Linked DNA regions of Kluyveromyces lactis. The main gene of each other region encodes a partner of the protein of the gene in region 3 in a complex. Links are inferred from orthologs where the notes say so. Each region holds a gene or a part of one and is shown on either strand. Other genes may lie near its edges. The genes, in order: RRP4, RRP46, RRP45, SKI6 and RRP42.

Region 1 (6,858 bases), on a different chromosome or scaffold from region 3:
AAACCTGTTAACGTATTAATGACCAAAAAAATGATTAGAACCCAAAATATAGAAAGGAAATGAAATGATATGTGTAAACCGTCAAGTCTATGTCACTTTTGTATCTGTTTTGTATCTGTTTTGTTTGTGAAGGACAAGTGTATCTTTGCCGTATTTCAACAGAGAATCCTTGAAGATCTCTTTGCTGATACTTTATCTGAGAGATAGAAAACCGCTTCAATAGTAGTATAATCTGACTGCTAGAAGACCTCGATAATGGACACTAAATGCCTTCTTATATATGTATCTCAAACTTGGACAAAACCCTCGAGAGTGATAACAGAGAACGGATGACGCACAGAAAAAAGTGATCAGTAGAATCCCAAAACTTATAACTGCCAACTCTTAACCAGCCACAGTGTACAGACCTTGCTCCGTAACCCTGAAATACCAAAGGAATGAGTAACCGAACGTCCACTCCCTGTCTCGTTGCTTTCCCAAGAGAAGGTTAGTCATTCTGAAGGCTGCATCTTTCAATTTCTGTTGCCTCGAGGGCGAGACATGGAAATGACTCACAGATGGCAACATCTGGTCACGTGGACAGAGTAAAGACAAACGGATGATAAAAGAGATGGACTGAGGGACACTGGGCCAGTGACTTGTTTTGGTGACTGTTTTCTGCAATCATGAGAGTCACTGGTATGTTGCATTCTATTTACATTGCAATTATGTATCAAGATAGTTAGATAAAGGCTAGTGACTGTGGTAGTTGGAAACTAACACAGAACATTGGTTTCGTTGGAGCGACTTTTCTCACTAAGTGGAACTGGAACTGGTTGAACGGAAGCTCTTGCTCAGTGGTCTTCATTATTTGTAGTATTTGTTGGTAGACCCTTTCGTGTAGTTGTTCCATGGATGGTTCTGGTTGTTCTTCCGCATCGTATTTATGGAAACAATGACAATGGATCCATGGGGTTTGGAACTGTTCGCCGTGTTCTTGAACCATCTGTTCGTATGTGAACCCGTACCTTGAATATAATCCGACGAATTCATCAAGGAATTGAAGAGCACTGTCAGGTAAGTTCATCACGTAGTGATCGAAGAACTGGTTTTTGATTGGGATCTTGGTTTCAGGAGTACGTTTAGTTTCTCCCGTGACTTTATCCTTGTACTTCTTACCTCCTGGCACCGTGATGACTCCCTGTACCCTTTCGATGAATTGTTGTAGTAGCTTGGGACTATCTCTGATGAATTCGCGGCCATCGAGGTTCAATGGTTCAACGAAGTTACCCACCTTATTGTCGATGATATTTTGCTGCATGTACTTGTAAGATTCTGGGTTCAAATCGTTACTTAGAACGATGACCTTCTTCTTTCCTGCTGGAACTGAGAATGGCCCCACCCCAGCAAACACATCACCAACTATTTGGCCCGGTTTGAATAGACTCACTAACCTTGCATGTTCTGTATGTAGTCTTGAGTTCCAGTACACTTTACTGAAATCGAAAGTGAATGAACAATCAGATTCCCTTTGAGTCACTAGCAGGTTCGGTTCACCCGCTAGGACGTTCATTTCGAAAGTTCTGAATTTGGTAGCAATGGAATCCACTTTATCGACCACGGTCTTGATCGTCGAATTCTTGTCCAAGATGACTTGTCCAATTATTTCACCAAACGGTTTGAACTCTTTCCTTAAATTCAAATGAGCTACGTGTCCCACAATAGTGAACCCAGTAGGAATCTCAGCAAGGTACTCCTCTGGTAAAATTGCATTTAGAATCTCTTCCACTTTCCAGAAGTCATAATCTAGCACATACTCATGGTTTCTCAACTCATACTCTTGCTCATCAAGAAATTCTAGTGCATTGGAGGTCAACTTCCCTCTCGCCTGCGAAACATCTTGTATACTGTCTTTTAGTATGATACCTTTGGTTATATGGTTGTCATTGGCCAGGGATTTGCTTTTCTTCTGTACTGGCTCGACATCGTTCTTATCAGTATCTTCTTTTGGTGTTTCGCCAAGTCTTATAACGAATGGAATTCTTGGTGTCCTTAATATATCGTCCTTGAACTTCTTGGTGAAGACAGAAATATTCTTTGGATTCTTCAATAGCAATACAACAACAGGAAGCTTCTTTACGAATAATGATTTATCTAATTGTTTCATGCCACGATGCACTGGTGGTTCATATTTGAACGTAGTTTCAATAGCTCTACTCATTGTTCTTCGAAGCACTAGGCCAAACCTCATAAAACTAGTCCTCCTCTATCCTTGAAAAATGGAGCAAAATAGTGTGCTATCACTTCACCAAATAAAACGCTGCCTGACGGTCGATCTTTGCTGCAACATTTTTACATCTTTTACAACGCTCATCTCATCTCATCTCATCGCTCTCTTATTTAATTTGGAAAATTTTCAGTTAACTAACACCAAAAGTAACAAAGGTACAGCGAGGAAGTCAGCACATCGAACGCCTTCTGCAGTCCCTGACATCGTTATATCATTACTTGGAACAATGAGTGATGTTATTAGTGTTATCAATAGGAACGAATTTTGGTCTAATGGCCGTTTAGAACAGGATGAATATGAATCAGATTCCAGCTCAGGTTCAGAGCAAGAACATGACATTGAGATGAGCGGTGCTCACGATTCCAATGGTGGAATAGACCATCAGGATGGGTCTATTGTCACACCTGGTGAATTAATAACCGATGATCCTATATGGATGAAGGGTCATGGTACTTATTTCTTGGAAAACAAGACATACAGTTCTGTGGTTGGCACAGTATCGAGAGTGAATAGATTGCTATCCGTTTTACCATTAAAATCTCGTTATATTCCCGAAACAGGTGACCACATCGTGGGTAGAATCACTGATGTTGGTAATAGAAGGTGGAAAGTGGATATTGGAGCCAAACAGTATGCGGTTTTGATGTTGGGTTCTGTTAATTTACCAGGTGGTGTATTGAGACGTAAGTCAGAGACAGATGAGTTGCAAATGAGAAACTTCTTGAAAGAAGGTGATCTACTAAACGCTGAAGTCCAATCGTTGTTCCAAGACGGTTCAGCTTCATTACATACCAGATCGTTGAAATATGGGAAACTAAGGAATGGTACGTTTGTTCAAGTCCCAAGTTCCCTAATAGTGAGATCTAAAAATCATACACATAATCTTCCAGGGAATGTCACCATTATCTTGGGTGTAAATGGGTTCGTATGGATAAGGAAATCCTCCAAGATGGATCTTTCCGGTAAGACCACTACTACAGGTTCAGGACAATCTGACCATTTACCAGGATCCAACAATGCAATGTCGGTTTCCATTACAAGATTGGAAGAAGAGAGTTCTTGGGAAATATATTCGGATAAAAATGATACTGTTACTGTAAGCGTTAGGCAAACAATCACAAGATATGCAAACGTAATTAAGGCGTTAGCACATTGCGAACTCGGTATCACTGAGCCAAGAATAATATCCGCATATGAGGCTTCAATGGCTTATGGTAACTTGGGACAGTTAATTGAATCGGAGACGATGGAGTCCTTAGGTCAAGACGTCATCAACTCAGAGAAGATGAGGGGAGCAGCATAGGTTGTAATCGGTAATATTAATATTTACATGAAGTAGTATTTTATAAATAAAGTGCATAATATTTACAAATAATAAAATCTTTTCGATAAGAGTACCATCATTTGGATGTCTCAGATGTTGGTTTATTATGGGTAGCTTGTAGCGAGTCTTGCTTCTTTCCATCGTTTGTGAAAGATTCAATTCTGCTCTTAACACTAGCACCAAGATACTTTTCAAAGAAGCCAATTTCTTCTTTCTTCTTACCGTCACCTTTACGCTTGGCAACAATACACCATGTCGTACCGAAATGTGTTCTTCTTTCTTCGACGACATCCAATCCAGAATCGTCAAGGATTTCTCCGATATCCAAGTTCCATCTACAACCCCATGTCTTTAAACGTTTCTCAGCTCTATCGTCAAGAATTTTGTTGATTGTATCGTATGAACCTCTTCCGTGTTCCAAGAGAATGATTCTACCGCCAGGTTTCAACAATTCAGCAAAATTCTTCAAAGATTTTACAGGATCGTGATGTGAACAAAGACCAAACGCTTCAACAATAGTATCATACTTAACAGGTGTCTCCTTCGAGTTCAAGTCGATCAAATCTTCCGCTTTCCCTACAACAAATGCACATTTCTTGAAATTGGGTAGTGCTTCTCTGAATTTTTTATTTGTGATTTCCATCATCTTTTCCGATGCATCCAAGAATGTGATTGAGTTGATCTTCGTTGGGTCTAAATATTTGATATTCCTACCAGTACCACAAGCGACTTCGAGAACATCTCCTTTACAATGTTTCATGAGCCACTTACGTCTTTTACCCATTCTGATCATCATTTCTTCAAAACTCACACCCTCATCGTACTCTTCTGCCTTCATTTCATAGAAATCAGTGGTATCCCTAGCAGGTAGAATTTTCTCGTTAATCTTGTTTTGATCGTTGTTTTCCAAGGTAATCTTATCCAAATTCTCAGTCCCATCTTTCTCTATAATCTTTTGGTATTGTTTCAATTTCTCCACATCTCTTGTTCTTAACGTATTTTTTAGTTCCTTATAGCGCAACAACTCATATTCATTTGCTACTCCCATATCAATCTTTGCACTAATATCTTCTAACTCCTTGTCCTTCTTATAAAGCTTCTTGGTATAGTTTAACCCATATAGAATGAACACCACATATGCGGCAAGAATGTATTTCGTTAAAGCTTTCGAAAACTTCTCGGACCTTGCAATGGCCCCGTACCTAATAATCCAGTTGTCAGATTTCAAATCCGCTTCATGCTTCTCCCTAGCAATCTGCTCCTTTGATTTAGGCTTCTTGTAAACGGAATCTGGAGAAGGTATGTATGTACTTTTGCAGCGTACAAGATCAAGAACCTTATATCCCGAACCTAAGCTTGGCCCACATTGCGTTACTCTCAATGGCCCCCGCAAGAAATTGCGTCTGACAGCAAACATTAGTGAAACAGATCACAGGTGATTCTTGAGACCCTGTTAAAACAGACCAGAAGACCATATCGGAAGGCTGTTTTGTCGGTTCTTTTGCGTTAACTCAAGATAAAGAGAGAGCGAGATGAGACGGTTTCGAGGTTGAATCGATCTTGAAAAATTTAGAATATCACGTGGTACAATTGGGTTGAGTGAATGTCTTAATAACCAAGTGGTGTTGACCCAATCCAACACCACTGACAACAATGAATTCTCATGCAGTTGGCTCAGACTCGAGGTTATGAATATATACAGATATCTATTGTTTTTATAAAGTGTTCTATTCGCTAGCAAAAGTGGCAGCGACGACTAATGGGAAAACGACAGTGGCATCTGCATAGACCTTAACGGACTTAGCGTCTGCTTTAATCTTACCCCAGGAAACAGCCTCATCTGGTCTTGCACCAGCATCAGAACCGTCAAATTCTTGACCCGTGTTGATATAAACAGCGTAATCTGCACCGTTTCTCATCAAACATGCGTTTGCGATGTGATGTTTGATTAACCCACCACCAAGGATAATCATACCTGCCCGTGATGCTTCCATAGACATAGAGTTAATCTTACGAATATCAGAAACAATATCTAGTCTCAACTGTTTAGGAGATGCCTTGAAGGTATGGAAAAACAACATATCACCAATGGAACCATCGGTGACAGCAGGACAAAAGATTGGGATATCGTTCTTATAAGCCCAGTATAGAACACTGGATTCATCGTTGATCTCTTTACCTAACCTACGGATCAACTTGGAAGGAGTCCATACCGGAGAGTCTTGATCGAAGTTGCTATCCAAACAGTCTTTACCCTGAGATTCGACGTAGTTTTCTTGTTCTTCAAGCATCTTGTCCAAGATTGGAACGATCCATTCTTCAAACTTACAATAGTTGTCGTTAGGAACCAGCAAATTACCAATACGGTTCATACCTTGGTCACGTAACCCTTTACCAGGTAAAGAAAACTCACCAAGGTAAGTGTCAGCCAAACACTTGATGATATCTTCTTCAACACCGCCTGCAGTTGCAACAATGGCATCGACCATCTTATTCTGAACCAAGAAACGTAAAGTCTCACGCAAGCCAGAAGAAATCAAATTCGAAGTGTAACCCATAAAGATAGTAGTCTTTTGGTACCCATCATTGTCAAAAGAACCCTTGCGGTCATGTTCTTCCAACTTGTCACGATGTTCACCTCTCCAGGATCTCATCTCATCGATAATATCGCAGGCTTTTCCCAAAGAAGACGCCTGGAAGCCCATAGTAGCCATCGATTTAATTAAATCCTTAGAACGCATGTTGCGTGATTCTGGTTTGCTGTAATCAATACCTTCGACCTTAACAAAATTATCAGGCACTGGAACAGATTGCTTCAACACAGCATCGCTTAAGATGTCAGGTAATTTACCGTCAATGTTGGACATCTTTTCGTTGTAAGTTAGTAGGTAAGTTGGTAGAGCACTTCTTTCTGAACAATGAAGCTCCAATCGCCTAAGTATAATGTGGTGAATCAGGTTATAGATCAGAGTTAATACCGTCTTGTTCTTACAGTTGTAAAGTTCATGCGGTGAGAAGTGAAAAATTCCTAAAAGGTAAAGCCTTTTAGTTTTATAAATCTCTAATCTGGTGACGAGATGACAAGTCAAAGAAACGATGCTGCACCACGATTAAACACATGACCTACTTTTTGGGTTTGCCTTGGTTCTTTGTGTGAAACTATGGTATGACTCTATTGTTCGTTGGTAGAGGCAATGCTAATGTTTGCTATCTCCTTTCTGGTGAAGTGTACCGTATCAGCTTAAGGCACCAGAAACTTTCCAGG
Region 2 (6,237 bases), on a different chromosome or scaffold from region 3:
CCGTTGTCCTGTTTACTTCGTGAACATTGAAGGTGAAGAAAACGACCGTAACGATAACTCATTCTGGGTGTCAGGTAGAAACTTGGAAGAAGCCGAAGCTAAGGCAGCCACTAAATTTGCTGATAAGAAGTACACTTTGGAACAAGACGAAGATGTTTTGGACACCTGGTTCTCATCTGGTCTATACCCATTCTCCACTTTAGGATGGCCAGATAAGACTCCAGATATGAGCCAATTCTACCCAGCTTCCATGTTGGAAACTGGTTGGGACATTCTTTTCTTCTGGGTTTCCAGAATGATCTTGTTAGGTCTAAAGTTGACCGGCTCTATTCCATTCAAGGAAGTATTCTGTCACTCTTTAGTTCGTGATGCTCAGGGTCGTAAGATGTCTAAGTCCTTGGGTAACGTTGTTGACCCATTGGATGTTATCTCTGGTATCAAGCTAGAGGATCTACATGCTAAATTGTTGCAAGGTAACTTAGATCCAAGAGAAGTCGAGAAGGCAAAGAATGGTCAAAAGGAATCTTACCCACACGGTATCCCAGAATGTGGTACTGATGCTTTGAGATTTGCTCTTTGTGCATACACCACTGGTGGTCGTGACATTAACTTGGATATTCTCCGTGTTGAAGGTTACAGAAAGTTCTGTAACAAGATCTACCAAGCTACCAAGTTTGCTTTGTTGAGATTGGGAGATGACTATAAACCACCAGCTTCTGAAGCTCTTTCTGGCAATGAATCCTTAGTTGAAAAATGGATCTTGCACGAATTGACTGAAACTGCCAAGAATGTCAACGAAGCATTTGAAAAGCGTGACTTCTTGAACTCCACCTCAGCCATCTATGAATTCTGGTATTTGGTCTGTGATGTTTACATTGAGAACTCCAAGTACTTGATTCAAGAAGGTACAGAAGTTCAACAAAAGTCTGCTAAGGATACCTTATATATCTTGATCGACAATGCATTGAAAATGATCCATCCATTCATGCCTTTCATCTCTGAAGAAATGTGGCAACATCTACCAAGATACGCCAGCGAAACTTCTCCAACTATCGTTAAGAGCTCATACCCAACTTTCAAGGAAGAATTCCACAATCCAAGCGCTGCTAAGGAATACGAGCTAATCTTAAACGTCACAAAGGATGCTCGTTCCTTGTTGGCACAATATAACATCTTGAAAAACGGTAAGGTGTTTGTTGAATCTGCTAATGAATCATACTACTCCACTGTCCAATCTCAAAAAGATTCTATCGTCTCTTTGATTAAGGCAATCGATGAAGTTTCCGTTGTGAAATCTGCTGCTGATATCCCACAAGGTTGTGTGCTACAATCTGTCAACCCAGAAGTTAACGTGCATGTGCTTGTGAAGGGTCACGTCGATATCGATGCAGAAATCTCCAAGGTCCAAAAGAAGCTAGACAAGACTTTGAAGTCTAAATCTGCCATTGATAAGATTGTCAACAGCAGCGATTATGAACAAAAGGCCAATGACCAAGTGAAGCAATTCAACAAAGAAAGATCAGAGCACGCTGCCGCTGAAATCGAAACCTTGGAAGCTACCATCGCTAACTTGGAAGCATTGAAGTTGTAGAATTGTTTTGTTATTTGTCCAATAGATTAGATTACTCTCTCTGCCGCTGCTAATGCGAATTATATAAATGCAAATATATATAAATTGTATATAAAGATGATAACGTTAATTATAAAGTTAATTTATAAAGAACCATGGGTGCAGGTATACCCACTACTGTCTCCAGACGAAATCTTTGGCGACTTTATCCTTGATCACTGATCTCAACTCTGTGTATAACCGTATACACTCTTTCTCACCTGTTTCTAACACTTTAAACAACTGTGACTCGTCAAAGCTGCCTAAACTATCAAGAAGAAGCAGGTTCCTGACATCTATATCCCCGTTCTCATTCGTGCCCAGCTCTAGACAGTATACGTGGACCGATTCACATTTAGCTAGCTGCGATTCTGTTGGGTTCACCACCAGCTGCTTCCCTTCAGTGGTAATACCAATACAAGTACCAGAACACATACTGAGTAACGGTACACCAGCATCCACCAATGCGAGCACCGCTGCGTTAACACATACACTGACTTCTTTCACAGTATAATCCCTGCTTTCTCCCGCTTCTAATACTTGGAGACATATCTGCACAAATTGACGTGGATGCAAGTATCTCGCAAGCACTGGGGTCAACACAGAACGGATCTGATCTTCCATTAACTTTTCCCTCGTACTCTGTACGCCTTCAGCAGGCTTCACGATGATCTCTAATGCAAGTTGTGTGGGCAACTCTTGCCTAGACTTAGGTTCCATGGGTCCCGAAACAGAACAGATAACTTTAGTTCCGCTGTTTGAAACAACAGAAGAGCCATCAACATGGCCCAAAACATGCGTCGTAGTCTCCATCTTGGCTAGAAAATTACTATAGGTACAATATAACAATCAATACGCAGTCGGTATAGACGGTAATGAGCCACTACAGTCCCTCTTTCCCCATCTTTTGAATGTTATGTCAGGATGAGATGAGATGAGCTTCAAATTCAGAAATTTTTCACTTTTAGGATACGCAATGAATAGATATGAAACTAAGAGGTTGGAGATGCAATGCAATTGATGTGCCAGAGACCCTTTTAGCAGGGCATGTATGTGGTAATTTATAAATAAGGAGATTGTGTGTAGGTCTGGCTTCATTTAAGTTCTGAGAAGGGAGCGAGAGACCAGCATTCAGTGAATCTTCAATCCATCAAGAGAGAGGGATTTATTTAATGACGAAGAGAGAATGAACACTGGCATAAGGAAAGACCATCTCAGGAAAGGTGAAACGGTATCATGGTACAATTCAGTGATTGCTGGTTCTGTTTCTGGGGTATTTGCTAGGATGGCAACTGCACCAATGGATACTGTAAAAATACGATATCAGTTACAACCGGTACAAGAGGACAAATATAAGGGAATTGCATCTACTGTGAGAACTATAATGAAAGAAGAAGGACTTCGAGCGTTATGGAAAGGAAACATCCCGGCGACGGCGATGTACGTTGTTTACGGTGCAGTACAATTCGGATCTTACTCGTGGTTCAACAACGTTTGGTCTGCGAAGTTCCCTCGGTTTTCACAGCAGGGACAAACGCTAACGGTCGGAGCGTTGGCAGGAATGACTAGTTCAGTGGTATCTTACCCGCTAGATTTGCTTCGGACAAGACTTATAGCAAACAGAACGAGCCATCGGACCAGTGTCGCAGAGGAGTGCCGACAAATGTGGCTCAATGAAGGTGTACGAGGTTTTTTCACTGGAATATCCACTGCGATGACAACGGTTACTTTATCCACGGCTATCATGTTTCTCACATATGAGACCGTGAATATAGTCTGTGAAAACCACGAGAAAGAATTCTGGTCGCGACCTGTAAGTGCTAGTTCAGGGATCATCGCAGGGTTTGTATCCAAGACGATGGTGTTCCCCATTGACACTTTACGTCGCAGAATGCAAGTGATGAACTCTAAGAGAACAGTTCATTTCACCAAATTCCCTGCTGTTTACCACGAGTACAGGTATAAATCATCCACTGCAATTATTTACAAGATACTAAGACAGGAGGGTGTATCAGCGTTGTACCGAGGACTTACAATGGGACTATGTAAATCTGTTCCAACGACAGCAATCAGTCTTTTCGTGTATGAACGCACAATGGATCTCTTTGATCACGGACAGCGCTGGGGGAGATCTCCATAGGACAACTGTGGATATATCTCATACCAACGGAGGATGTTACAGAGAGCGTGTTTACCTCCAGTATATAGTTGATGTAGAGGAATATCCTACTGTGTATAAGTCACGTGATCAATATCAGAATCATTTAATGATAACTTCCAAACGAATCAAAGCAACTTACCGATGGCTGATGCAAAAGAGAAAAAGAGACGACAAAACCAGTCGGTACGGCGCCACTTCTAGCTGCAATTGACGCGTAGGATCTAAGTACAAGTGGTAATTCTTATTTTTGGTGTTACTATTGCGAAGTTGTGCAGATTGTTTCTGGAAACTACTTAAATTAAGAGCCTCGACGAGTTAACAAGAATAATCTCGTGAAATAGTTTCAAATGTCCGCTGTCACCGCTAGAGATGTGCTATGGTACATCCCAAACCAGATAGGGTATGTGCGTGTGGTGACGATGTGTTTATCGTTGGTTTTGATGGCCAAGCATCCGTTGTGGACGATGGTAGTGTATGGAGTGTCTTGTTTGTTAGATGCACTAGATGGGACAATGGCACGTAAGTACGGCCAGATCAGTTCATTCGGTGCTGTGCTGGATATGGTGACAGATAGATCCACCACCACAGCATTGATCTGTTTCCTATGCGTGGCATATCCGGTATGGTCGCCCGTGTTCCAACTACTAGTTGCCTTGGACATTTCAAGCCACTATATCCACATGTACGCAACGCTAAGCACAGGGTCTCAATCGCACAAGGCCATCGAAAAGGAACAATGGCTTCTCAACTTATACTACACGAGACGTAAGGTGCTATTCACGATTTGTGCGTTGAACGAAATGTTCTACATGGGTCTATATATCAACGCCTTCCCTCAGTTCAAATCGTATTACTTCCCATTGCTTGGATCCACCCATATCGGAGCTATCATCGCGCTGGTGTGTCTTCCAGGGTACATATTCAAGCAGATTGCCAACGTCGTTCAACTAAACCGTGCTGCGTTGATGCTTGCCAATAAGGACGCAGCAGAAGCCACTGAGAGAAGAAGTGCAAAGAAGAACTAAGAGTTCCTCCCCATTTATAACTACCGAATAGAATTTACCGATATATATATATATATATATAAATACATCAATGAACTAGAAATCTAGTACTCTGAAAGTGCATGCCACCTAACGCCAGAATGTACGGTCCATAGCTTGCGTACTTTACCATATATCATCTTTGTCTCATCTCGTATTTTATGATGGCATCTCTCGAGCAGCTTTATGGAACAAATTACTGTAAATCCACATTCACCACTTCAAACGGAACTAGATCAGAAGGAGAAAAAAAGGCTTTGTGCTACTACGGATAGACCAGCAGCTGTGGTACTGTTTCCCTCGAGGTTGAGAGTTTTGTTGCCTGTTCAATAACCAAAGATGAGTAGTTCTTTGTTTAGCAGCGTCGTTCCAGCAGCTGTTTCCGAACAGATAGATCTGTTCACGACCTATGTGATGTCCTTACCTCCGCACCCTCATTTGACCGAGTACGTGATCCCATATCTCGAATCCAATGGATGGATTACTTCGAATGTGATTCTATCCAATTTACACACTGTGTTGTACATTGCCGTCGGGTATCATGCGCTATTCCTGTTATCTCAACGGGTCTTATTCCCACCTCTAGCTTCTTATAGGTTATCCTGGGATCCGGAGACTACGAAAGACCAACGTAAGTCTAAGGAAAAGCAGCATGCAGACCTTGTCAACCAGAGTGCCGTTCGTCTGGTGAGTTGGATCCAATCTCTGATCGTGCTTTATCTCAGTTTCGAGGCCATTGCATATAACAATGAAAAACCAGATCTAAACTCTCACGATCGTATCTTTGGCATGGACCCATATAACGTGAAGGTATGCGTTTTCGCAATTGGGTACTTCCTATGGGATATCTACATTTCATTGGTCTACTCTACCCTCCCATTCGTGCTGCACGGTTTGATCTCTACGGTGGTTTATGCTATTGGTTTAAAACCTTACATCAACTACTACGCAGGTATTTTCCTGATGTTCGAGCTATCCAATCCATTCTTGAATATCAGATGGTTCGGGATCAAGTACTTGCCACAACTGACCAAAGACTGTCAGACTGTCATGGCCAAGGTGTGTAACGTGATCCAATTGGTGAACAATGTCGTTTTGATCTTGATCTTCTTCTTGGCAAGAATCTGCTGGGGTTTCTACCAATTCTACCAACTGTGTACCGATTTCTACAACATCAGAAACGATCCAAGCTTCTTACCTCTCGAAACGGCCATCATTGTGACCGGTAACCTGATCCTTGACGTTTTGAACTTATTCTGGTTATCAACCATGCTTTCTGTTGCTGTCAGAATCATCAAGAAAGGTGGTAAAGTCCAAGATAAATGAAGATAATACAAAGCGAGCGACCGGCGAATAGACCCTCAGATTCTGAGGCTCGTCCCGCCGTGTAACATTCTGCCTTATAAACTTTTATAAATCTATTG
Region 3 (6,440 bases):
ACTCATAGAAGCAGCCGTCATTGCCAAACAACCCAAAAACCCCAAGTAAAGGCATCCATCCTTCTCCGCCGTTAAATTTGTCAACGAGCTTCAAGGCTTGAGCTAGACGATCTTTTTCAACTGGTTTCCCAATAGTGAAACCACGTATCACCAACATACCTTGTCTGTTTGGAGCTGTAAGATCTGGATTCTCTTCTGTTTCTACCAACTTTCCCTCTAAAGAAGTAGTAAATGAACCATAGCACGTTACAACTTTATCAACTGTCGACGGCAATACCCTATAATCATAGTAGTTAGTGTATGATAGGGGCCCAAGAACGGAATATGGAGAATAGACCTCCATTACTACTCTAGAGCCAAACAGGGATCTTAGAAGTGTCAGTTGAGAAGTGCTGTACCTGTCAATCGTAGATTTTTCCAATCTAAGGACTGATGAGCTAAAATCAGTAACTTGGTTGACATTCTTTAATTCATTTAAAATGTAGATACACCTGAGTTTATCAACCTGTTGAGAGATTTGTCCAATCTTGTTAAATACACCTTCACTGAATAACGCTTTTGATAAAGAGGTCCGGATCCCCTTTGATTGCGTTAATACATGATTTAAGAAGGCGGAATTACCTGTAATAGCGAGTAGTGTAGTATCTTTAGGAAGATCATTCAAACTTCTTGGCTCATCACTGAATGAAACAGAGCCACCGTGTAACAAAACTGACAGTGTTTTAACCCAGCTCTGAATGGATAGTGAATGTCTCCATTGTGTGCTCATAGATATTGTTAGATGATCTGCTTCACCTAGCGAATGTCCCAATGGGAAACTTTTGATAAATGACGACACACTACTGACAAGACACATTTGAGTAAAGCTGGTGGTACCTCCAAATAAATTCGAAATATACGCCAAAATTTTGGCATCATCTCCAGAGTCTTTTGGGTCATATTTGAACTCCGGGTCATCTGTCACCTCTCCTATAAAATCTTTCAATGAGATGACATTATTTTGATAATCATTCCTATGTTTAATAGACCGATCACATACAATAATCCATTGGTACCACTTTTCACTACCATTAAGGTACTTAACTGATTCCCAGTCATTGATAAATATGATGTCCACTTCCAAATCGTTTCGCGGAATCGAATGTAAAAACCAAGGTATACAATCTTTCAACGACAGCATTAAGCCGGCAACGCCGACTGAAAATCCCATTGATGAGTCAATTGACGTAGCTATTCCAATCTTCTTAGCACCTATACTTTCAACTTTAACCACAATTCGTTTTGCTATACCATTTATTCTTGTAAGGGTAGTTTCTTCGGTATGGAATTGCAATACAGTCGACTTGCCATTTGTCATAATTGCAGACCATAAATCACCAAAATTACCATTCCTGAGCCTATATCCTAAGCTTAGGTTTAAACCTGTAGTCAATGGAAAAGAAGCTGGGACTAATAGGTTTCTGTAAATAGCAGTTTCATGTTCCTTTCTTACGGACTCAACATTTGATTGTGCGTTCAGCGAAATTGTATGTAGATCTCTTTTGGAGTCAATAATAACCGAATTGATAAACCAAACAGTACTAGCGACGATTACCAAGATAGCAACCAAGTATTTTGAGAAGGTGATCCAGTCCACCATCTTTTGGGAGTGAGTTTACCAACAGCTGTTATTTTATGTAATTACGCGCCGTGCATTTTACTTTGCGTAAACTTCTTCAGTAATTTCAAGTTCCGATATGAATCAGTGTATATATATATATATAATATTTCAGATCCATAAACGAGGAAGAATTGTCAGTTAAACAAAAGTGAAATCTCATAACAAAGCAAATTACATGCCCCTTCCTTTTTGTAGCTGTTCGCTGTATTAAGTGTGCAATAGATTCAGAACGACAGCCGCAGCACACAATTGCGTACATTCATCCAATACTTGGTATATTCCACTGACATTTACAACATTTAACGTGAACGAAACGCGTAAAAAGCATTGTTAACTATCCTAATTAACGATCAAACAACAATCCCCAGCTACATTTCCTTAGTGAATATGACTGTTGAGAAGGTAATAAGGAAAGGATGTCTATTGGTAGCTTTGCCAAATTCAGTGGATTCTCCTGTCGAAATATTTGAACTTCCACATCCATCGAATAACGAATCAAAGAAACCTATCAAACTGTTTGTACACGACGATAAAGTATACCAGCTTAAAATCAAAAAGTTCAGTAAAGGCTGTGACTATAATTGCTCGCGAGATTTAGTGAATGATAAATATCATTATACTTCAGATTCGCAAACATTTAAATCCACATTTTTGATCAATGAAGAGAACAGGAAAGATGGACACATACTAGAAGATGGTTCGATACTATATGCCGAAAAATATGACTTAACTTTTAATATATGTGGGTATTATTATAGGAACAACAAAGTTACTAGTGAGGATCTAGCGTTTATTACACCTTGCGTTCCACCCGCACTCGATATGGATACTAACTTTTATACTAGTTCTGATTACCAAGAGAAATTAACGAATAATCACAGTGAAAATTGGGAGAAGATACCTCCAAAATTATGGGAAAGTTGTCTCGGGAAAATATCACATACAGTGGAAGAAGCTGGTGACAAGTATTATCGTATCGAACCTCAAATGATAGTAGAATGGCTACTGAAGAAAGTCATCAAAATCAACAACAACTTCCCTACTTCTCTTAAAATACCAAAATCGCTACCTGAAGATATAGCATCATCTCTGAAATGCATAATGTCGTGTAATCTTCTAGTTTCCTTGATCCCACAACTCGCATACCAGGATCTAATTAGACATGAATCTTCAAATCTTAACATCAAACAATGTTTCGACTCATACGACAAGTACAAGAACGAAACATTACAAACAGAAAGGGAAAGAGAGCTCCTTATCAAAGCTGCTATGTCTACAGCCATTCCAAATGGCACAAAAACCGTAAAGAAACAACCTATTCAAAAGGCTAAAGTTGTGAAACCAAAGGTTGCTAAGGGTAAAGGAAGAATTGACGGATTCTTCAAAACTAACAAAACATAAGTAAGGGCATATAATAATTTCGTAGAAATATCAGTATTGGATAACCTCTATCATTTTGACCTAAAGCTTCACATAACATGCCGTTGTTGAGCTCTAAAATAATTGATCTTCTTCCACTTAATACCTGTCTACAGGGTCTTCCTCCTAGAGAAACTCGCATCAATTTTGTTTTTATTCCTTTTTCATCTTTCTATCATATCAAATGAGACAAAGCTTATGAAAGATTTAGAACTATAACACTTGAAAAGTTAAAGAGTTGCGATGAGCAGCACTGAAAGAGAAAACCATAGCCGAAGAGAGCTTGCATTCGCATATCAAAATAGTTAAATCGATAAGAGGTGATGGCAAAAGATATAGAGATCAGTAATGCTGAATCCAAATTTATCCTGGAAGCGTTAAAGCTTAAACAAAGATTAGATGGACGTTCATATGACCAATTCAGAGATGTGAAGATCGAAATAGGTGAAGCATACGGTGATGTGACTGTTACCATGGGTAACACAAAGGTACACTGTCGTATCAGCTGTGAAATTGCACAACCTTATGAAGATAGACCGTTTGAAGGACTTTTCCATATAAGTACCGAAACTACACCGATGGCAGGTGCTCAGTTTGAGAATGGGAACAATACTGGAGAAGAAGAGGTATTGATCAGTAGGATGATTGAGAAAGCTGTAAGACGATCAGGAGCATTAGATGTAGAAGGTTTATGCATAATAGCTGGCTCCAAATGTTGGTCTCTTAGAGCTGATGTTCACTTTTTAGATTGTGATGGTGGACTAATCGATGCCAGTTGCATTGCTGTAATGGCTGGGTTACTTCATTTTAAGAAGCCCGACGTTACTGTTCTTGGTGAAAGAGTGACGGTACATCCGATTGATGAAAGAGAACCTGTGTCACTAGGTGTTTTGCATGTTCCAATTTGTGTGACGTTTTCATTCTTCAATCCAGACGATACAGAAGAAAATATCAAAGGTGAGGACAATGCAGAAATATCAATCATCGATGCTTCCTTAAAAGAGGAGCTATTGAGAGATGGTGTGCTTACTGTGACGCTTAATAAAAACAGAGAAGTTGTTCAAATCTCCAAAGCAGGTGGTTTGCCGATGGAAGCTTTGTCGTTGATTGATTGTTGTCATAAAGCATACGGAATTGTAGAAAAAATCACTGATCAAATTCATCGTGTTGTGAAACAAGATACCATTGCAAGAAACCAATACGCACACATTTTGAGCTCTGAAAATGCTCGTGAAACTTAAGGAGCATTGTATCGAAGAACTGGAAGCTTTTCTTCAATTATAGATTAATGCTTATGGTTGTACCATATCCCAAGACACTTGGCAGCTAGAAGTCGTTTAATCCATGCCGTTCAGCGCGTTTGATATTGTTCTGTACTATATGTTGTATGTATGAATATACAAATAATGTATCTGTTTGGTGGATATATGAGAGTGTATGCTGTGAATATCTTAGCGATAGTGAATCAAATATAAAGTCTGGTCATGTCTCTTTCTGTTGAGGAAGTCACTGATTCTTCCCGAGCGTTAAACTTTACAATATGTATTAAATTTGGATATCTGTTCAAGTCGTTCTTTTCAAATTCGAATCCGTTTCGTGAATTAAGTTCGGGATACAAATCTCGTTCATCCAACATCATCATGTGTTTGTCAATAGAAATTTGTGTCTCTGGTGCAGAATTCAAGTACCGCTCTTCTGCCGCCAAAATGTTCTTCGAATTAGCCCAGTATGTTACTGTACAGTATATTATGAATAATAGCACGATACTAACAACAACAAATAGAATGTAGTAGCCGCATATGTACAATATTGGATTATTCCGTTGATCCCATAAATGTGACATTATAATCAATTCACCACAAATATGTCCCAAAATCCATCAATTCGAATAAAGCCTTGAGTGTTTGGAAATTCAACTCCAGTGATCAGGAAGAGTTAATACAATCTGGTATTAGTTGGTATGTACTTTTCACATCGGGTTCTACTTACCTGAATTTAATAATTTATCGATTTATTGTGACACATGACAGAGGTCGGTGATATAGAATATATTGTTCTTAAAGAAACGAGAAAACAAGTTGAAACGGACTGATGTATGACTTTTACTGCAATGAATAGGGGCAAGTTGCGAATACCTATCAATTCGATCATAACCTAGTATATATTGAAAAGTAGTCTCTGGCCAAACCTGTTAGGGATGTCATGTCTTGTCAAGTCAGAGGGACTTTTCAAGGCTACTAAATTTGATATCTCTGCACTAACAAAACCCAAAATATGGAAGAGACGTCTATCTGCTAAAATTGGGGGAATAACCATTAAATGGATGATGAGCTTGAGCCTTAGCTAATTGGCAGGGAAGTTTCCCCGCCGTTCCAATGTCCTTAACAAATTTTGTTGTTATAGTTATTTTATTTCCGTATAACGTGGTTTGATTGTAAAAAGCAACAAGCTGTTCATGCTTAGGGTAAGCTAATACCTGGAGAAAGGGCACAGGGCAGAATTCAGTTGGCTTTTAAAGTTGACACGTCTCCCCCCATTTCAAAGGTGGATTCTTCTCCATTAGTATAAATATCAAGTATGTATCCAGATATACATTCCTCTTCTCCTATTCTAATGGTCAACATATGTCAGCAGGGTTCCTTAATTTCATTAGTAGGGTGCTTAAAAGAGAAGTAAATTGTATCAATTTGACACATATAATATCCTTCGTAAACAGTTGAACAAGCAAATCTCTGTAATAATGCCTTCTATTGCTGTTGACTACGTTCTTTTCGACTTAGATGGCACATTGGTGAGTTCCACCGATGCGGCTGAAGAGGCTTGGAATAAGCTCTGTGACAAGTATGGTGTTGATTATTCAACACTTTCTAAGGTCTCACATGGTTCCAGAACTGCGGAGATCTTAGCGAAGTTCTTTCCTAACGTTGACAACACTAATAATCAGGCAGTCAAGGAATTTGAACTTTCTATTGCCAATGATTACATGGATATCGTTTGTTTGATTCCAGGTTCTATAGATTTACTGATCTCGTTGGATAGACCAACTGGGGCACACCCTGGTGAAGTTTTCCATCATAGAAAGTGGGCTGTAGTTACCAGTGGATCGCCTTGGGTTGCTCATGCATGGTTTGACAACTTGTTAAAATCCATTAAGAAACCAGAGGTATTCATTACTGCTTTTGATGTTTCAAAGGGTAAACCTGACCCAGCCGGTTTCGCTCTGGCCACTAAACGTTTGAAGGAAATATGGCAAGATGACAGAAAGGAGGTAAGAACGGTGGTTTTCGAGGATGCGCCTGTTGGAGTTCAAGCTGGTAAGGCCAATGGCTCAATTGTAGTTGCCTTAACCAGTACTTATGAT
Region 4 (6,144 bases), on a different chromosome or scaffold from region 3:
TCCTCCTTATTCTCCATGATTTAATTAAAATAGTTCCACTTTGGTGGATCCTAGTGAAAAGTAGGCAAAACTTTCAAACCAACTGCGCTCCTTGACGATTTAGGTGTTCTCTTCATCGGTTTCCCATCTTACTTATAATCATCTTTGATTCTCCGAGAAACCTTTAAGTGACTTTATATTTAAATTGTACTTTTTCAACATAATGCCATGATTTTGGCATTACATACCAACCTTGGGGAACCACATTTCGAACAATAAAATCATATCTGAAGATCATAACGACTGCTTGCTTGCTTGAAGCCCGCCATTTTACTAACAGGAAATGCATAGAAAAGTAATCTTATTATTAACAGTCTCTTTACTACTTCGAATTGGATTCTTTTCTTACGGTATTTTCCAAGACTCGCATTTTGACGTTAAATATACTGATATCGATTACTTTGTCTTTCATGATGCAGCTGGTTACGTTAACAATGGACAATCCCCTTATTTGCGTGATACATACAGGTACACACCTTTATTGAGCTTCTTGTTACTACCCAATTATTATCTAAAGTGGATTCATATGGGGAAAGTCTTCTTTGTTTTATTTGATCTCATTACAGGTGTGATGATCATAAAACTATTACAAGGTTCATGTCAATTGACAAAACAGCTAATTCTAGCTTCTATTTGGTTATTGAACCCGATTGTTATAACGATAAGTACTCGAGGAAACGCTGAATCGGTTTTATGTTTTTTGATCATATGTGCTTTATACTTTTTGAAAAGAGACAGGTTACTTATTTCAGGACTTTTCTATGGGTTATCGATTCATTTCAAGATCTATCCGATAATCTATGCGCTACCGATCGGAATATATCTCTTGTTGTCGAGTCACAATAGAAACTGCATTTGGCGATTGTTCATGATAGGGATATCGACGCTAATCGGCATAACTGCGCCGACGTATTTCATGTACAAGCTTTACGGGAGCGAATTTATCGAACACTCGTACATGTACCATCTCACGAGAACAGACCACAGACACAATTTTTCGATTTGGAACCTGGTCTTACTCTTAGAATCTGCTGGTATTCATCTTTCCCAATCTATCGAACTATCTAAGCTGGCATTCGTTCCTCAATTGACACTATGTGCAGTACTACCTTATCTATTGTGGAAATCACAGACGTTCGAAAATTTAATGAATGTCCTATTCGTACAAACATACGCATTCGTTACTTTCAATAAAGTATGCACTTCTCAATATTTCATTTGGTATTTGGTATTATCCCCATTTTATTTCGCAAATACAACCATTACATGGAGAAAAGGTGTGGTCTGTATATTTTTATGGATATTGTCTCAAGCCGTATGGCTTTCACAAGCATATCTACTTGAATTCAAAGGCCAAAATGTATTTTTCCCCAACTTATTCTTTGGCAATATAGTGTTTTTCCTCATCAACGTCTATCTACTCGGTGTCTTTATCACTGACATCAAATCCAGAACGTCATTCCAAGACAATCAACATAAGAAGAATATATAATTTTAACTTAGCATATACTGTAGCGTACTGTGACATTTTCAAAGCCACGATCGAAGTCCTGACGAGTATTTTGATGTTCCATTCCGTTCATCCAATTTCATATCCGTTGTCAGATTCACTCGCTGCTGTTTTCTTCATACTGATTATTGAAATAGAATTTGAAAAAAAAAAAGTATTCAAGTTTTGAATCTTACAAGTGAAATATGAGCTCATCGACATCTACTAGAAGAAGTACATTCAAAGCAGAGGCTGTCAGATTGAAATTAGCCCCTCCAGCTAGCGTGTAGGAAAACCCACTTTAACTAACAGAGTAACATAATGTCACGTTTTGAAATATATTCTCCAGAGGGATTGCGTGTCGATGGTCGTCGTTGGAATGAGCTAAGAAGTTTCAACTGTTCCATCAACACTCACCCGAATGCTGCAGATGGATCCTCGTACTTGGAACAAGGTAACAATAAGATTATCACATTAGTTGCTGGTCCTCAAGAACCATCCTCGAGGTCACAAGTCAATACGAAACAAGCTACTTTATCCGTTACTATTAACTTAACGAAGTTTGCCAAGATGGAAAGAAGCAAATCAAGCCATAAGAATGAAAGAAGAACCTTAGAATGGCAAGCTTCGTTAGTGCGTACATTTGAAAAGAACTTGATGCTTCATCTCTATCCTCGTACGTCAATTGACGTTCAAGTTCATGCTCTACAGTTAGATGGTGGGATTCTTGGGGCAATGCTTAATGGAATAACATTGGCTCTGATAGATGCTGGTATCGCAATGTATGATTTTGTAAGCGGGGTTTCAGTGGGACTTTATGATACTACACCACTACTAGACCTTAACTCGCTTGAGGAAAATGCAATGAGCAGTGTTACCATAGGCACAATTGGTAAATCAGAAAAATTATCTTTATTAATGGTGGAAGATAAAGTGCCTTTGGATAGACTTGAGAGTGTCATGGCCATCGGAATAGCAGGCACTCACAGAATTAGAGATTTAATGGATAAGGAGCTTAGAAAGCATGGAAAAACAAGAGTTGAAAACTCTTCGAATTGATTTTTAAACCATTAATTATAAACTTCACATAACATGTAAACATAAATGCATTCTACAATTCGGATCTTGCCTTTAACTACAATTTTTTACCTATAGATGAGAATAACCCCTTAGATTTTTCTCTCATGCTGCTAGAAAACATCTTCTTCTTCAAATGTGTAACATTTTGGTTCACCGTATTTGCGACGCTGTTCTTTTTACTCAAAATATCCGCTTGAGCATAAGCATCTTGAACATGTTTATTGACTTTGTAGTCTTTGAAGATAAAATCCTTATCAGATGTGGTAGAAGACTTCAAAGCATATTGGATCCAGCTCTGGAGTCCGGAGTCATATTCTTTTAATTGTTCCTTGTAATTGTTTAATTTTTTTAGTTTTTGGGAGTGAAGCTCATTACTGCTTAAAAGCTTGACCAAGTCTAGATTCGGGACAGTTGACTGGTGAACCACTGATGGAATTTCATCTCCTTCAGAACTGAATGCTTCTTTTAATTTTGATTCACCTTTTGGAGCTTCACCGTTCACGTGTTTGAATATAGTATCGTTACTAGAAACGTAGTCAGTAGATTCATTGGTAATTTGTATGTTCGTAGGGAGAGCCGGAGCAGATGCATTATTGGCAATCAGAGCAGGAACGTTATATATGGTTTGATTGTCATAAATTGTTTTAGTGTCAGCAATCGTCTTGAGGTCGTCATCATCTGATGCAACGTCATGTGGAAAAGCATTAAATTGACTTTCTCCGTCTGATGCTACCGATGAATTGCGTTGAATATTGGATGTTGTGTTTTTGTTCACTTCAACAATTTCCCCGTCCTCATTTACGGTGTATCCTTCGGGAGGATTGTTGATATCGATGGTCTCAGTAACAAAACCAGATCGGAATGCATCGGTGTCTGGTTTCCACTTGCCTAGATTGATTGACTCCCTGGTTGAGAATGCTAATTTCTGTGGGCCGTCTTCCTCGTCTTCAGAGCTGTCAGAATATCCTCCGACGTCATTTTCAGAATTCTGATCTGGAACGTCCGATTGGGTTATAGAGGATTGACTCAATCGTTTCGTTACGCTCTCCGTTATCGAATTAACATCGCTATCAGCTGTCAGTCCATCTGTATCGTTGTTATTCAATGTATGCCTATCTGAATCGTCGATTTCCTTGTCCTCATCAACCATCGCAGCGAAATAGCCACTTTTAGTGACTTCTAAATCTCCATCCTCATCAGTATAATCTATGTCATCATCGCTTGAATCGAGAACAGAGTTCCTGACAGGGTTTCTGAATTTAAAAGATTCTGCAGAATGAACAACATACTGTCCCAGGCTAACTTCGGAAATAGCACGTTCCTTCTCTTCGCCAGAAGACTCTGATGAATACCCGTCGTGATATGACAGGTCTGTTTTGGATGTTTTACGAAGCTTTACAGGCGACGCATTGTCTTTCATCAAACTTGGTTCTGAACCATAACCATTTAGCAGTGAATCAGAATCATTGCTGTCTCCTTCTTTTGAGTGTTGAATAGACAACTGGGATTCTGACGGAAGACTATTAATAGAACTTGGAGGCATCTCTTCTTTATCTTGACTTCCAATTGATTCTGGATGACTGTCTGATTTGGACCAGTTATCTTCATCTACCGCGTCTTTACTGCCTTTGTCATCTGAAATTGCAACATCACCCTGTATTCTAGAAGGAATTTCAGTTGTTGGGTCAATCATTTCGTCTTGCAACTCCACTGATATTTGGCTAGTTTCTACTTCAGAAGCAGCATTCTTGAAAAGTTCTACTTCGGTATCATCTCCTTTAAGGGGTTCTTCCTCTGCACTGACTATCTTGAAAGGTTCCACTTCAACATCAGCTCTTTTAACCGACTCTGCTTCAGAATCATCTCCCTTAAAGGATTCTTCCCCAACATTCACAATCTGGACAGGTTCAACTTCAACCTTAGCTCTCTTAACTGATTCTGCTACAGACTCAACTTCACTAACCGATTCTGCTTTCGCATTATCTGTTTTGTTAATCTCCGTAGCAGATTCAGCTAGCTTGGCCGATTCTATATCACTTTTAACAGATTCTCTGTCATCCGTATCTTCATCGTTTACGTATGCGGCAAAATAGCCAGTCTTCGATACCTTCAATTCTGCATCATCTTCATCCTCTGGATCACTGGTATTGTTAACGTCCTCATCTTTTGCAGTCATCTCTTGAGATATTTGATGCATTAGAGAATCTAGATCATCATTGACAGATTTATTTCCTGATCTTACAGATGTATTCAGAGAGTCAGATCTTAGGCAGGTGCCAATTGATGGATCAGGTGAGCTAGATTTTGCAATGTTGTTAGATTCAGGAATATTTACCTGTGGTAGTTGCGGAATATTATTCGTTAGGCCCTCATCCTCAGAATTAGATGAATAGGCATCCCAATCAGCACCGTCATAGTTTGCCTTTGACGCGCTAACCCATCTCTGGGACTTATGCCTAGTAATGTTATCACTCATTTTCGCGTTATCCTGATAGTGTTGCCTTGCTATGTCGTCCATAAAAGAATCCTCTTGATGTCCTTAACTTTCATTAAAGTGGCTTAAACTTAATCCCAAGGTTTTTGTTTATTATTTAATTTACTTTTCTTAAAAGAATGATCTAAATTGACACGAAGATCACAAGAAATTTACCTTGAAACGCAGATTTGAAAAATAAATGTGTCAGAGACAGGTCAAATCTTTTAAAGTAAGGTACCATGATGGATGATGTATATTAAAACAAATATGGTAAGCTTCCTCGATGAAAATACTGGTGGAGTAATGTTGCCAGTAATAATACGTACAGTATGTGAAATTTGACTAATATTCTATGCATTTATATATATATATCTTTTAATTTTTAGTATGAAAGAAATAATCACTCTACAAATGGACGTCCTGACCGTTAGCAAAAGATATTAGTAAATAGAAATTCAAACCGGAGATGAAGATCCATACAATGACAGCAACAACCGTAGTGAAAATGCTGTTACTGAAATCTTTGTAATGAACAGACTCATCTGATAGAGGTTCAGGGGAATTAATTAGATGAGCGTCCACCTCATCATCAGTATCATGAGCAATAACGGTAGCATCATCTGTGGCTAAGTTACTGGAAGACAAATTCTGTAATGCAAATAAGTTTGACGGTTCTTGAGAACAATCTATAGCCCAAGGAACTCTCATAATGTTTTTATTACTAGTGAAGTAAATCAATGGAGCACTCACAAATGGTAATAGTAACGAGAGAACCACCTGTGAGGCATTGAGAGCCCCTGATAAACCGTTTCTACCGGCCACCAATACTAAAATCAAACATGGTGTTATAGCAACAACACGCGTCAATGCACGCCTTAATGCTGGAGCAACAGTCCAATTTAAGAATCCTTCCGAGACCATTTGTCCACTTAGAGTACACACAATACCTGCAGATTGCCCAGAGAATAGTAAGGCCAAGACAAAAATTGTACCAGCAGTCTTTGAAAGAGTTTCTGATAATAGATTATAGATGGAGAAAAGATCTGCTTCGTGCGCATTG
Region 5 (6,201 bases), on a different chromosome or scaffold from region 3:
TTCACTCTGTAACGCCTATGATGAAATTCACCATGCCCGGGTAATATATCCGAAATTGCACCAACCCCTGATTGTGCGTAGTGTATGGGTGGAAGCCAAAACAGCACAATTTTTCTGTTTTATGGGATGAAAAGAATTACATAAGCGGCCCCTAATTCTCGTTGTTTTTGTGTTCCTCGTGAGTTTCTCAACTCTTTGCTGAAAGGGACAAAGTTCAGTTCCCAGAGAAGGACTTAGGCGGGGAAATCCAGCCCAGGAGAAAGGAAAGCAGAAAAGCTGATGTGATTTTTAACAAGTAGTGTTGCTTTGGAGCTGGAAAAAGTCAGCATAGTAACGTGCGCATCATACACTCTGATTTGCAATGATGGTGCCTCGGAGGGGTGGGTGTCATATGTGGGGCGTGATATCTTACCGTTGGGTATAAATAGTAAGAGAATAAACTCTGGCTTAAATTATTGTTATAAAAGGCTAGCTTGAATATATAGTTAAGGATACCGATCTTAATTCATCTCGTACTTTCCAACCGAAACAAGACTAAAAAGTGAAAAAACATACATAGCTAAGGATAGACTTAACATAGAAATATGGCACATTCTTCTGGTATTCGTAGACCAATTCAGATTCAAGAGTTCGTGATTGCTATTAGAGAATCGTCTGAGCATGAATTACAAGAGATCAGAAAAGAGATCAATAATGCAGTGAAGCATTTACAAAGATCTAACAGAAGGTTAGAAGCGTACGTTGCCAAGCTTAAGGGTGAAGAGGTATTGAACAGACAAGAATTGGACGCGGAAGGGAATTTTTCCGATGATGATATTGATGAGAAGGATTTGCAAGTATTCCAAGACTCATTAGCGGAAAATGGAAAAGTATTGGATAATTATAACGAAAGGCTACAAGCTTTGGACCTAGAAGAACAGCACAGGGCTAGCACTGTATCTTCCGGTGACATCCAATCGGCGTCCACAAAATTAAAAAGATCTTTGCAATCTCAAGGCCGGAGAACCGTTGGCGTGGATTCAGATAATACTGCTGATGCCACTGGTTCCAATAGCATTAACTTATGAACCCATTCCAAACAAAATATATATAATGTACTCATATATTGAAGTATAGTAAAAAAAAAATGAATGAAAGCAAAAATGCATGTTTAAAAGTGTGGGCTGGTATGACCTCGGAAAACTGTATACTTTCAGAGATGAATAAACGCACCCGTTCTGGTTTCTTTCTCTTAGTTTCGGGCTGGTAATCTGCTGGGAAAAACCCTGGAATGAATCTGCTACAGACCATTCTTAACATTTAGCTTTTTCTGTTTCCAGCAGGCTGGGCCGTTCTCTGTGGCATTCATTTTCTTCCATCTGTAAACGTCGATGCGAAAAAAGTCTATCAGGTTCACGTTAACATTTCATTTCATTTTGATATGATCGACATATATACTGTGCCATGGCATGAAAATGTTAAGAACACTTTTGGAGAAAAACATACAGAGAGTCGTTTTGACAGCAATTATTCGGTTGGAAAAGTGGGAACTGCCTGGGTTAATGATTGGTCTCCATCTATAAAGCATCAGGTTCAATTCAAATCGAAACAATTCTTTTTTTCCCTTTAAGGTTGTTTCTCAGTGCTTCATACGTGTTGTCAATATCTTTTTGTGTTCTTATTCGGCCAGACAAAATTTTTTTTTTGGGTCTAATCCACAGCTTTCGCTTCAGTAATTAGATTGTGGTCTTTTCGTTTGTTATTATACCCAGTTCATTTCGTTCCAGCTAGTAATTTTTTTGTTCTTTTTGTTTAAATGGTGATATCGTTGATATATGTCCTTTTACTGATATGTTCAGTTGTCTCGGAGACCCTTAAACTGCCGATAAACCCAAATCGATTAGAATTCGATTTGTGGCCATATAAAAAATGGGAAGTTGACGGCTCGAGTGACGCGTCTAGTTATCAAACTTGTTTCGAAATGAATACGAATATTAAGGCCAAGGATTTACAATTCCTCATTGAAATTGAAGAATTTACTAAATGGAAAGTTAATGTGGATAGGTTTGGTCCAACTACGAGTTCAAAGGGAAAACAGGTTGTCAACATGGATATTTATGACGAAGACCAAAATTTGGTACAGTCAAGACATGGTTTAGAGAATGGGGAAACTGTGCTTTACGTGAGCGTATACGAACATCAGAATTTCCAAATATGCCTTATCAACTTTTCATTAGACTCCTCATGGAATGCCATAGATAGTGTGAAGCAAGTAGCAATTAGCATCACGTCTAATGATCTGATTCAGAAACAGAAGTGGGATTTGATTACTGATGATGATCTCAATTTGTTATCCCAGGGTAGAGATGACCTGTTTTCGTTGGTCAGTGCGGATTCTGGCCAGGAATTGCATGCTTTAGATGTCGATCATAGAAATCTCAACGAATCAACGTTCTCTTATCTACTGGCAAAAGTCACAATATTATTCTGCATCATTGGAGTATGTCATTTGCTGGTATTTCCAATCTTACTGTATAGAATCGTTAGCAAAGGGCAACCGACCAAGAACAAAAATAAAATCAAAAGATAAGGAATAATTATGTCCATAAAACAGTTGATGTATTTGTATATATATTAAACATCAGCACCCTGTATCAGTACAACTTCAATATCAGTCAGTCAGCATTCATCGTATGTTAGTACTTCGAACCGTGACTGACACCTGACAGAACATCTCACTAATGGCCAATTATATCCGGGTAACACCGAATATTAATGTGCATTAGCGAAAAGAAGAAATGAAAAATCTGAACTAATTTCAGTATTGACTTATATGAGCTTGAGATGAGATGCAATGAGATGATGAGAAAAGGCTTATTTCCCTTCTATCAACAGCAATAGAAACATCTGAGTTTAAAGCGAGTTATCTTCTCACGAAGCAGACCCATCTCGTTAAAAAAAAAATCAAATAATATAAGAAGATAATGGGACTTTCGTTAACTGAAAAATCGTTCCTATACGATTCTCTAACATTAGATCCCCCATTAAGACCGGATGGAAGAGGTCCACATCAATTTAGACCATTGGAAGTATCTACTGATTTCCTTCCCAATTCTAATGGATCCAGCCGTGTGATATTAAGCGGAGGAAGCGAGTGTATAGTGAGTGTAAAAACTAAAGTCGTGGACCATACGGTAGAACAAGAATTGCTTGTTGCTGATGTCGACATCCAAGGCCACAGAGATGACTCTCCATTGGTTACCAGCATGTCTTCACTATTATCCAAATTGCTCAAACAAACTATTGATCAGAAAAAGCTAATGCTCACGAAAAGGTACAGTTTCAAACTTTACATTGACGTTTTGGTGCTTGCCTCCAAATCATACCCGATCTCAATGATATCTTTCGCCATTTTCAGCGCTTTGAAAAACACATGGCTACCGAAACTAATATCGAACGACGATGACTTAGAAGTGGAGGAGCTACCCACATTCCATGATTACGATATGGTTAAGCTAGAGGCAGATGCTCCTTTATTGTTTACGTTCGCAATTGTAGGAGACGGTGTTTTTGTGGATCCAACTTTTGAAGAGAGCATAGTATCGAACAATGGCCTTCTAATTACGTGGTACAAAGATAAGGTTACTTCTCCGATAAGATCTGTTGGCTTGAATAACGATAATATCAAAGGGTTCAGTCAGCATCATTTAGAACAAGCGTTCAAGTTAATTCGTCAATACGCACCACATATTGAAAAAGCTTTGGATGCTTCAGATTAAGGAACATTTAAATAGTAAATAGGTACTTTTCAGGGTGTTTATTATAAATGCATATCTATAAATGCTGGATCGAGTACGAATGAACGATAACAGCTGTTGCAGTTTGGATATTCATGGATCTTATTACCCCAGATTGTTTGATTTCTAAGCATAAATCCAACTCCTTTAACAAATGCCCTGGAATACCATGAGCTTCTGTTCCTAGTAAAATGACAGATTTTGATGGAAATTTAAATTCAGAATTCAGTTGAATGGAAGAATCAGTCTGCTCCAATCCAATTAACGTATATCCTTCCAACTTCTTTGCATTCATGTAAGATATTATACCATCGACAGGAACTTCTTCAATAGGCATCCAGCGGTCCGCTGTAACCGCAACATTTTTGAATTGAGGATGCTGTTTGACTCTAATATCATGAATTGTCATAGTACCGACACCCAACACGTCACAGAGTCTACAAATACCTCCGAGATTGGGTGCTTTATCCACTAATGAAGCTACGACAATTAATTCAGATCGTGCAACAGACTCAATGGATTTTTGATTATCGAAATCCAAGACAGCTTCCCAAGCACCACTCTTCGTTTGTAGGGGCGAGTTTTTTGCTAACTCAGTTGAATTTACTAGATTACTACTTCTTTTGGTCAACCATAGTTCACTCTCTTCCGATCCTATTTCAAATTCACCGTCATCGATGTTAATGGCTTTGAATATCTTACTATTTATATATGGAACTTTATGATCCATAATTTTCAATAATACGCCGCCAAATATACTTGTTAACTTAAGGTCGTTATTGATGCTCCAAGTGTTTGCGTCACCGGCTCTGAATTGACCTTGTACTTGGATCTTCTTAGCATCGCTGTATAGCTTAGAAATAATGGATCGCAAAATATTATCTTTGATGTCATCTTCAAAGGTTGGCCAAAACAAAAGAATGAGGGAATTAGAGAAATGTCTAATTAATGGTTTGTTTGAGGAGCAATTAGTTATCAGTTGTGCGACAAATCTTTCCATTGGCCTGAAAAAATGACCTGTCTCCTTCGCTGCCTTCAAAGATAAGAATAACAAACGTTCAACACTTGCTTGTAAAACAGGACGAGAGGTGTCTTCTAAAAGTTTGAACAGAAAGTCCTCATTTGGATTTTTATGATTATCTGTCGCTGTAACCCATAGGTCATATGCAATGAACCATTCTGAATAAACTCTTACTAACGGAGACGATTCTTCCACAAGAGAAGGAATGATATAATCAGAACACAAACCTGTTAGAACATCTTTATCGACTGATTTGATCGATAGAAGGCACAGTTGCCATTTTTGTAATCGTTGAATTTCTTCTGGTCCATCAGTTTTTTTCTTCGCTTTTAACATGTTAGGGTCTTCTTGGAGCATCACCTGCAAAAATTGACGTCTAAACTCCTTGCTTGAATATAAAAGAGCTTTAATTATGCGTGATTTCGTAACCACTTCTGTTGCACCATAAACAAACTTGTATAATCCTCCGTCAATATATAAACCAAGCTTGGAATCAAATAGCTTGGCAATTGCAGGTTTTAAATTGTAGATGTTGAGATTCATACTTTCATGAGTGAAAACATCAGATAGCAACCTAGCAAAGTCCGAATATTGCTGGTTTGGTAGTGAACTTCCATACACTTCCATAAACCCTAAGATTTGCTGGCTGAGAACTGGTTTCAATGTTCTCCTCGAAAAAGATTGATCTAAAATGGCAGTTGCGTAATGAAGCATGATCTTGAAAATAGCCTGATCATTGAGGGCAGATAAGAATGTCGTATAATGGAAGATGCCTCTTATGAGAGCCAAATGCAATGGTTGTTGATTGAGTACCAACCTCTCTTCTATTAAAGAATCCCATATTCTGCACTGTAAACCCATTGCACTATTCAAAACATGTTTCTCCATATCAGTAAGCTCATGCAGTGTTGGGAGAATGTAGACATCTAATATTGATTGACAAAGATAGCTGATTTCAAGATTTCCCAAATAATTTCCATTATCCCTTTCGGCATTTTCTTGCAAGAGATCCAATAATGTATTCAGCTGTTCTTCAGTCAGGGGAGATGATTTGATGCAAATTCTTAGCAACTTGAAGAAATTTGCATAAATTTCATCTTTTAGCTTGAAAGGAAGATTGTTTTCTGATCTTATGTACTCCCCAATTATGCGGTATAAATTAAGCAAATTTTCAAAGGATATGGTGATCTGAGAAGGACTTTGCATAACCTTATCAAACAATGATACAAAAAAGTCGAATTTATCAGGTAAAAACTCGGAGAACAAGCTCTTAAAAATTGGCAGAGGATTAATGGCACCGTAGACAGCTGGCGTAAACTGTGGTAGGTCCAAAATGACTTTAGCTTCCTTGTAGTTATTACTTTCCATTGTCACTAACTCAGTTAAGAAAGCATAATATTCTTC

Evidence for each region.
Region 1: RRP45 (region 3) and RRP4 share a complex: the UniProt entries of both Saccharomyces cerevisiae proteins name them as parts of the RNA exosome complex. The link is inferred for Kluyveromyces lactis from reciprocal best matches to the Saccharomyces cerevisiae genes RRP45 and RRP4.
Region 2: the proteins of RRP45 (region 3) and RRP46 are in contact, whole or in part, in a crystal structure (PDB 5OKZ), measured with the Saccharomyces cerevisiae proteins. The link is inferred for Kluyveromyces lactis from reciprocal best matches to the Saccharomyces cerevisiae genes RRP45 and RRP46. Residues at the interface, in NP_010566.1 of Saccharomyces cerevisiae: Lys3, Asn53, Lys55, His57, Arg59, Ser61, Ser80, Glu82, Ile83, Ser84, Pro85, Met86, Ala87, Gly88, Ser89, Glu92, Asn93, Arg135, Asp137, His139, Leu141, Asp142, Cys143, Asp144, Leu225; in NP_011609.2 of Saccharomyces cerevisiae: Ile9, Leu10, Asp11, His12, Val13, Ile27, Cys28, Ser29, Thr31, Ile34, Glu35, Lys37, Glu49, Ile51, Arg53, Pro54, Ala55, Lys56, Gly57, Val58, Ala59, Leu87, Gln89, Thr91, Cys92, Gln93, Leu95, Glu96.
Region 4: the proteins of RRP45 (region 3) and SKI6 are in contact, whole or in part, in a crystal structure (PDB 5OKZ), measured with the Saccharomyces cerevisiae proteins. The link is inferred for Kluyveromyces lactis from reciprocal best matches to the Saccharomyces cerevisiae genes RRP45 and SKI6. Residues at the interface, in NP_010566.1 of Saccharomyces cerevisiae: Thr97, Glu99, Asp100, Val102, Leu103, Ser105, Arg106, Glu109, Lys110, Arg114, Ser115, His191, Thr206, Glu207, Asn209, Ile210, Lys211, Asn215, Glu217, Asp232, Leu239, Arg243, Glu244, Val245, Val246, Gln247, Val248, Ser249, Lys250, Ala251; in NP_011711.3 of Saccharomyces cerevisiae: Arg95, Arg96, Leu98, Glu99, Thr102, Ser103, Val105, Arg106, Met107, Lys110, Phe155, Asp156, Val190, Glu194, Lys195, Leu196, Ser197, Leu198, Leu199, Leu200, Val201, Glu202, Asp203, Lys204, Ile205, Pro206, Leu207, Asp208, Leu210, Glu211.
Region 5: RRP45 (region 3) and RRP42 share a complex: the UniProt entries of both Saccharomyces cerevisiae proteins name them as parts of the RNA exosome complex. The link is inferred for Kluyveromyces lactis from reciprocal best matches to the Saccharomyces cerevisiae genes RRP45 and RRP42.

The regions. Positions count from the first base shown.
Region 1 is NC_006041.1:1,127,099-1,133,956, reverse strand, and holds RRP4 (exosome non-catalytic core subunit RRP4), read left to right. Parts: upstream 1-2,258; coding exon 2,259-3,572; downstream 3,573-6,858. Other genes in the region: TRM5 (tRNA (guanine) methyltransferase), read right to left, coding at 722-2,230; OMS1 (putative RNA methyltransferase), read right to left, coding at 3,670-5,010; DYS1 (deoxyhypusine synthase), read right to left, coding at 5,321-6,460; IPK1 (inositol pentakisphosphate 2-kinase), read left to right, coding at 6,760-6,858. UniProt on the Saccharomyces cerevisiae protein: Non-catalytic component of the RNA exosome complex which has 3'->5' exoribonuclease activity and participates in a multitude of cellular RNA processing and degradation events.
Region 2 is NC_006040.1:1,265,008-1,271,244, forward strand, and holds RRP46 (exosome non-catalytic core subunit RRP46), read right to left. Parts: upstream 2,423-6,237; coding exon 1,745-2,422; downstream 1-1,744. Other genes in the region: VAS1 (valine--tRNA ligase), read left to right, coding at 1-1,591; thiamine transporter TPC1, read left to right, coding at 2,796-3,749; PIS1 (CDP-diacylglycerol--inositol 3-phosphatidyltransferase), read left to right, coding at 4,118-4,795; ALE2 (Ale2p), read left to right, coding at 5,153-6,139. UniProt on the Saccharomyces cerevisiae protein: Non-catalytic component of the RNA exosome complex which has 3'->5' exoribonuclease activity and participates in a multitude of cellular RNA processing and degradation events.
Region 3 is NC_006039.1:950,655-957,094, forward strand, and holds RRP45 (exosome non-catalytic core subunit RRP45), read left to right. Parts: upstream 1-3,402; coding exon 3,403-4,320; downstream 4,321-6,440. Other genes in the region: DDE1 (Dde1p), read right to left, coding at 1-1,639; RNH202 (Rnh202p), read left to right, coding at 2,048-3,061; KLLA0_C11121g (uncharacterized protein), read right to left, coding at 4,545-4,922; KLLA0_C11143g (HAD family hydrolase), read left to right, coding at 5,820-6,440. UniProt on the Saccharomyces cerevisiae protein: Non-catalytic component of the RNA exosome complex which has 3'->5' exoribonuclease activity and participates in a multitude of cellular RNA processing and degradation events.
Region 4 is NC_006040.1:810,216-816,359, reverse strand, and holds SKI6 (exosome non-catalytic core subunit SKI6), read left to right. Parts: upstream 1-1,849; coding exon 1,850-2,587; downstream 2,588-6,144. Other genes in the region: KLLA0_D09669g (uncharacterized protein), read right to left, coding at 1-17; GPI14 (glycosylphosphatidylinositol-alpha 1,4 mannosyltransferase I), read left to right, coding at 323-1,531; FYV8 (Fyv8p), read right to left, coding at 2,664-5,126; divalent metal ion transporter SMF2, read right to left, coding at 5,490-6,144. UniProt on the Saccharomyces cerevisiae protein: Non-catalytic component of the RNA exosome complex which has 3'->5' exoribonuclease activity and participates in a multitude of cellular RNA processing and degradation events.
Region 5 is NC_006041.1:821,901-828,101, reverse strand, and holds RRP42 (exosome non-catalytic core subunit RRP42), read left to right. Parts: upstream 1-2,963; coding exon 2,964-3,758; downstream 3,759-6,201. Other genes in the region: TMA17 (Tma17p), read left to right, coding at 585-1,067; RRT6 (Rrt6p), read left to right, coding at 1,796-2,569; TRM3 (tRNA (guanosine(18)-2'-O)-methyltransferase), read right to left, coding at 3,814-6,201. UniProt on the Saccharomyces cerevisiae protein: Non-catalytic component of the RNA exosome complex which has 3'->5' exoribonuclease activity and participates in a multitude of cellular RNA processing and degradation events.